Oryza sativa Japonica Group: one gene and its partner. Each later gene encodes a partner of the first gene's protein in a complex. Links are inferred from orthologs where the notes say so. Each region holds a gene or a part of one and is shown on either strand. Other genes may lie near its edges. The genes, in order: NAD(P)H-quinone oxidoreductase subunit S, chloroplastic; photosynthetic NDH subunit of subcomplex B 5, chloroplastic.

Evidence for each region.
Region 2: NAD(P)H-quinone oxidoreductase subunit S, chloroplastic (region 1) and photosynthetic NDH subunit of subcomplex B 5, chloroplastic share a complex: the UniProt entries of both Arabidopsis thaliana proteins name them as parts of the chloroplast NDH complex. The link is inferred for Oryza sativa Japonica Group from reciprocal best matches to the Arabidopsis thaliana genes NdhS and PnsB5.

The regions. Positions count from the first base shown.
Region 1 is NC_089041.1:5,276,598-5,279,622, forward strand, and holds NAD(P)H-quinone oxidoreductase subunit S, chloroplastic, read right to left. Parts: upstream 1,777-3,025; 5' UTR 1,686-1,776; coding exon 948-1,685; 3' UTR 723-947; downstream 1-722. UniProt on the Arabidopsis thaliana protein: NDH shuttles electrons from NAD(P)H:plastoquinone, via FMN and iron-sulfur (Fe-S) centers, to quinones in the photosynthetic chain and possibly in a chloroplast respiratory chain.
Region 2 is NC_089035.1:41,426,756-41,430,680, reverse strand, and holds the start of photosynthetic NDH subunit of subcomplex B 5, chloroplastic, read right to left. Parts: upstream 2,246-3,925; 5' UTR 1,468-2,245; coding exon 1,186-1,467; intron 1,021-1,185; coding exon 966-1,020; intron 838-965; coding exon 769-837; intron 627-768; coding exon 568-626; intron 466-567; coding exon 229-465; 3' UTR 1-228. Other genes in the region: uncharacterized protein, read right to left, coding at 2,394-2,492, 2,675-2,785, 2,878-2,937, 3,038-3,155, 3,415-3,515, 3,593-3,664, 3,764-3,851. UniProt on the Arabidopsis thaliana protein: NDH shuttles electrons from NAD(P)H:plastoquinone, via FMN and iron-sulfur (Fe-S) centers, to quinones in the photosynthetic chain and possibly in a chloroplast respiratory chain.

The DNA of each region.
Region 1 (3,025 bases):
CGCTACATGCGGGGAGGAGGAGGAGCGAGCGAGGAGGAGAAGCGAAGTCCGTGCGTGGAGGAGGAGCGAAGTCTTCGCGTGTGGAGGAGGAGGAGTGAAGTTTGGGCGTGGAATCGTGCGGTGGTGAATTCGTGCGCGCGGATGGACGGTAGGGATTAATCCGAGTGATTTGGCTCGTAGGATTGGAGGGGTACAACTCCTTTTTATATTAGTATAGATATAGATATAGATGGTGGTAATCAATACAAATTGTACTCTGTTTGCAAAACACTATATCATTATTGTTACTTCACTGTCTTCCTTTACCATCCTTTTAAATCTGCTGCTACACTTATTCCTGAGTAAGGCAGGTTATATAGAAGTAAAGGCCCTATCTTTTCATATACTCTTTCAAATAAACAAAAATCATGGGAAACCAGCTATCAGGCAAACGTAAACTACAATGCATAGATAGTTGCTGTGCGAAATACTGCGGGATTTTGAAGTCATGTCAGGAATAACGAACACTTGAACATTCATACTCTGTACAATTTACAATCATGAAAGCCTGGTTACCTGACTGTCATAGCCTCTTCGCTTCAAGAAGCAAGAGATGATAATTCAAGTTTGTAAAAAAAAAAATTAATCCTACCAACATAATGAACTATGGCAACTGGTGCCCTTGTAGGCATTTCACTAGCAATCCGGACCAAACGTGATCAAATTGATCAAACATATAGCAATTCAACAAAGAAGCTAAACTTTTATCTCCGAATCGTTTGTTTCATAGTGCCAATTCACACTAAGATTCCAACTGTACATATAGCAATTAACAACAACACATTTACTCACTTCGAAATTACTCATCGAATAGATAATATATATATATATACCCCTTTCACTTCCATCATCTAAGAAAATATAGATAGCTGTATACATACAAGAAGAAGCAGAAGCAGCAATGGTGGTCAAGCCGCGGCGGCGGTGCCTTCCTCCTCCTTCTTCTTCTTGGCCTCCTCTCCCTCCTCCTCCTTGGCCACATCGTCCTCCATCTCCGCGGCGAGGGACTCGAGCAGCACGGACTTAGGGTTCACCATGGGCGGGCCCTTCTCCCTCCCCTCGAGCTCGTCGAGATCGAAGGTGATGAGCCTGTCCCAGATCCCCCCCTCGAACAGCACCCCGACCTTGCCGTCGGTGACGCGCTGCACGATGCCGCAGTACATGTGGTAGGCGTTGTTGGGGTTCTTGACGAGCACCACCATCCCGGGGAGGAACAGCGGCAGCTCCGGCGCCCTCGGCCGCTCCACCGTGGCGGCGGCGGCGAGACCTTTCCTGTGCGCCGGCTTGGGGGGAGGCGGGTTCTTGGCGACGAAGTCCTTGAGGCCGACCTCGCCGCCGGGGAATCCGCCGGTGAGGCCCATCATCTCCTTGTCGAACGCGTCCGGGTCCACCCCGGACGCAGCCGGCGGCGGCGGTGGCGACTCCGCGGGCTCGTCGGAAGAAGTGGTGGTGGATGGCGGCGCGGCGGGGGAGTCGGAGGCGAGCTCCTTGCGGATGCCGACCTCGCCGTTGCAGAGACCCCGGCCGCCGAGGAGGTCAGCGACGCGGAAGGTCGCCGAGGGAGGGGGCAGGCGGACGATGCGGGGGTGGTGGTGGTGGGGCAGCGGCGGCGGGCGGAGGAAGGAGGCGGGGGTGGTGGGCGCCATTGGTGGAGCAGAGCGGAGCAGAGGATGTGTGGAAGTGACGAAGCCTTTAAAGCCTAGGTGGATGAGGACCGGGGGTGGCTAATGGGCGACTGGTACTGCTATACGGAGTACAGTATATACTTAAAGTACTACTAGTACTACTACCACTGTACTACTTTAAACTACTACTCCCTCCGTTTCATAATATAAATTATTCTAGCATTTATTACACGTTAACATCAATATGAATATGAAAAATACTAGAATGACTTACATTGTAAAACGGAGGAAGTAGTAGTAACTGGAGTACTACTAACTACTACTACTAAGGCTGTGTTTAGATCCAAAGTTTGGATCTAAACTTCAGTCCTTTTCTATCACATCAATCTATCATACACACATAACTTTTCAGTCACATCATCTTCAATTTCAACCAAAATCTAAACTTTACTCTAGAATAAACACAGCTAACTAGAACTAGTACTAGTACTACTAGTACTGGTAACTAGGACCACTACACCACTACTACTGTTATTATATACTACTAGTACTATTTAAAAAATATATTTTATATGTAAATATATACGCATATACAAAAGTTTATATATAACGTATAACAAAGTTTATGATATATATACAAACTTTATATATGTTCATTTTAAAAAATAAAAAAAAATAGAGGAAAACCATCACGTATATAAATTTTATATATACACTATACGCATATATATAAACTTTATATACGTATGTATATAAACTTTGTATACTGTATATACAAACTTTATATATGTGATGTTTTTTTTTTAAAAAAACAAAGAACCGAAGAAAACAACCATAAAAACCGGCGAAAAAAAAAGAACGCGGGCCTCCCACTGTGCGCGGCCGCCGCGCCCCCTCCCCCTCCTACGCGCGCCACGCGTCCATCCGCGCGGGGTGAGGGGGCACGCGACCAGTCGCCAATTAGGAATTTCGGATGAGGACCTCGTGTTTTTCGACTGAAAATTTTACATTTAAGCCCCTTTTTATTTTTTTTCATAAATAGGCCCCTAAAGTTACTATCCGTAAGAAATACTTCCTCCGTAAAAAAAAACCCAACCTAAGAGGAGATGTAGTGTCCAGATTCGTTGTACTGGGAGGGGTCAAATCCCCTCTTAGGTTGGTTTCTTTGGGATGGAGAGAATCACAAAATAACTCAATCTAGATTCGTTGTCTTAGAATATGTAACATCCTATCCTATATTGAGTTATTTTGGGACGGAGGGAGTAGACGACGAGCCCAAATCACGTCAAATGTGGTATAAGATCTTCACAGTCTACCTCTCAGCCAACTCATGTAGTAGTTAGCTCTTAACTATAAACTAT
Region 2 (3,925 bases), on another chromosome or scaffold:
GTACCTGGCTGAGAACTTCAGAGTTGAGACTGTCAGAGACATAGAAAGCAGGCCTTACAGTAGATGAGATGATCCATACACACATCATTTCATCTCAAAGTTCTTTATTTTGAAGAGACTCATCTTGCAGCTTTGCCACCCTGCTTTTCTTTGGAGTGGTTCTGATTTTCTGAACTGTTTCTGCAGCTGCATCTAACAAATGTGACCCCCCATTTCTGAATACCATATCTAAGACGATTTCACAATCTCATCTCTTCTGTCGACGGTGAAGTCCCAGAGCTCGCCGTACTTCTCGTTGAAGTCCCAGATGTCCATGGTGTTGTAGTCGGCGATGAGCTTGTCGCGAGCCGATCTCTCCATCATGTAGATCTCCGGCTCAAAGTTGTGTGGCTTGTCCGGTTTGTCCATCTCGATAACGCAGAACACGACGACGAACACTGCTGCGCCGATGTAGAGGTACTCCCCCTAGTGGCAGAAGTAGACACATATTCAGAGAGCTCAAGAGCCAAGACAGATTGTGAAATGTGATACATGTCAGTAGGCTGGAACTACTGCTCAATATGTTACCGGAACATTGAAGGCCATGCCAAGGATGATTGCAGGAGGAAACAACCAGGAGATCAGTGCTGCAAGAGATGGCCCATCAGTGCAAATTGAGCAAGCTTGTCTTAAGAGAAGAAAGATCTGATTTTTTTTCTCTGATTTATCTGAAAGAATCTGATTTTTCTCTGATTTATCCAAGTGAGAAAGGAATTTGGCTGTTACTACCTTGGAAGCCCTGAGGAGGTTCAGCTTCTTGGTACCACTCAGAGACATCCTCCCAAAAGCCCTTCTTATCTTCAGTGTCAAATGATTTTTTTTTCCACATCATATCACATAAGAATCAGAAATTAGCACACATGAGCATGATTACGCATTTTGATTCAAGGAATGGATAACTGGATAAGATAGCCCAGAAAAAGAACCTTGGGTTTCATTATATGTGTGGTGACCATCATACACTCCATACTCGAAGTCGTCCTGCAAAGCAGATTCTTTTCAGTGTCAAAACCATTTCTTCAGACAACACAGCACAGCAGCAGCAATCACTGAAGAAAGAATCAAAGAAACCATGGAAACTGCTTGGAATAGAGAAAAATAATGAAATTCTCAACACGGTGGCCGGCGACGGCGAGGAGGACAGACCGGGCTGACGCCGTTGGTGCGCCACTTATCAATGGGGTCCTCGTTCAGGTCGGGCTCGATCTCCGTCAGTGGCCCGGGCCCCGCCCTCGCCACCACCGCCCGGCCTCTGCTCCGGCAGCAGCAGCAGCCGCCATGCTCCGTCTTTAGCTGCCTCGCTGCTACTGCTGCTGCTGCTGCTGCTCCTGTTGCTGTTGCTGCATCGTCATGACGAAGGCGAGCTTTTGCAGTGGCAGACGGTGACGCAGAAATGGCGGACACCAAGCTGCTGCTGCTGCTCATCATCTCGCTCCAAACGCTGAGCTCTGCTGCTCGCTTCTTGCTTAGCTGGTAGCTGCTGCTGCACTTATACTTTGCTGCAAGGAGACAAAAACAAGAGGATAATGGGTATGGGGCATGTACCGTCCAGGATTTTTCGCTGCTTTTTTCCTCTTTTCTTTCTTTTTCTTCATGCCTGGAAAGAAATCTGCATCACCTCATTAGTCAGTCAGTAATCAGGTCAGATATGCATGATAATCTTGTGAATGAATAGAACTAGTATTTGTTAGTACTACATTATTGCATTCTGATGAATCTGAATTGTTAGCAACAGCAAGCACAGAGCCTTGTGTTTTACACATCAGGAGAGACAAGGAAAAGACAACTGCAACATGAGGACATGATTTGTAAATGAAAAGAGCAGAAAAAGAACCAGCAACCCAGTGTCACTGTGTCGGACGTCACTGATTCAGTGGCTGAGATACAGTGCACCATCAGCAGCGCTTTTTCACTGCTTCAGTATGCTTTTTATGCGTCATACTTGGCTCTTGTGCCTTGAGTTAGCAGGCTGCTGCATTTCTTGTAGGAGTATTCATTAACTGAACAAACAAGGCAGCAGTTCATGAACCTCTTTCCACATTTTTTTTTACTGAAATCTTTCCACATTTTGTTCCAAGAAGAAACTAAATTTCTTACAACATGCATTAAACATTGCATAATACAGCAGGTCCTACAACAGAACAACAATAGCATATCTGCTCAACTTCCATCGGAGAATTATTCCGCAGCCGTCCAGGACCTATTGCCCCCCTAAACTGCAAAGAAATCAGTGTCAGGACTTCTTGGAGTATTCCAGAAACAATATAATGTCCCATCCAAAAAACCAGAAACAATCTAATGATGGAAGCCTAGAGTCCACCAAAGGATTACCTGGTTCAAATAGAATTGGATAACTAGCTTTGTCTGGCCTTCATAACCAGCTCTTCTGTAGTAGCGCCAATGATCTCATTGGCACGCTTCAGAGATAGACAGCATATTCTTCCAATAGAATCCTGCAAGCATCACTGGCTTTATTATCCATGATTAAAATAGAGAAAATGCGAGTAACAACATAATGGTATTTCATTTAAAAATTCTTTTAGATTCTATACATTCTGAAATTTATCTAAGTTTTTTTTGGGGATATATATCTCACTATGATTTGGTACTGCTGTAACAAGCTGTAAGAACTCACTCTTGTAATGATGCCAAGCCTCTCTAACTTCTGAACAGCATCCATCACCTCAAAATTGCATTGCAAGCCAAACTCTTCTTGGATTAACTCTTCACATTGTAAGTCAAGATCCTAGCATTGAGTGCCAAGAATATTCAACTCAATTTTTATACTTGCACAACTTCAGAAACAAAACATGCTTGTTTCAAATACCAAAGCAATACCTCAATAGTCGCCTTTCCATTTTCCATCAAAATATAGTAGGAAATTATAATCTCCTTGACCTGGACATCAGAATTCAGAAACCACAAAGATGAAAATAATTGTGAGCACAAGTCTCTGATATGCTTATTCTGAATCAAGTACTACAATATGGAGACCTACTTCCTGCTGAATCACATCATCACAGAGATGGAGAAGTGTGCCTTTCCCACTATCTAGCTGTTTGTCATACATTGATTGAGTTATTAGGTTTTGATATGTTGCCATGTTCTGTTGAAACCTGAATCAAAGGTAGCTTATTTACCAAATTTGTCCAATACAACCAATACAGCAAATAAAGTATCATCATAAATAAGAAAATGCTGAAGGAATCAGGGAAGCAAAACTGCATTTTATGGAGGTATTCTAAAGTAATTCTGGCTGGATGAGTAAACAAAAATCCTCCCTGTCCCTGCTCTATTATATACACAATGCAGATTACCGACAAGATGACAAGACGAATACCCAATCAAAACAAATATATCAACCAAGGCACTCACGATAAATAGATCTTGGCACAATATCCAGCCAGGGCAGAAAGGACGGCAACTACAACCCAGAAATCAGCTTTAGGCATTTCGAGCGAACTGACAAGTGTAACCTGAGCAATGTGAAAAAAATAATCATCAGGTGATGAATCACAACCCAATCAAGTGCAACCAGTTCCAGTCCACTTACAAGTCCAATGACAACAGAAACAATAAACTGAACCCAGTCCATTGGTGTGAGGCTTGGATTTTTCTTCTCAGGCTGCAACAGTCATAATTTCTCTTCAGCATAAGTCCAATTGAAGAAAGCAATATGGATGTCACCACATTATTCTTTGGCATATTAAGCTTCTACACTTACCAAAACCAGCTCCATATCTGCCATTGGAATATTTTTGAAGTGCTTTACATGAATTGATCTATCATTCTGGCCCTTAGGGCTTTTCCTCCTGAAAGAACAGTCAGAAATCAGTTATAACACAGTAGTTCAAGACATCATGAAAGCAGCCAATTCACAACCAGG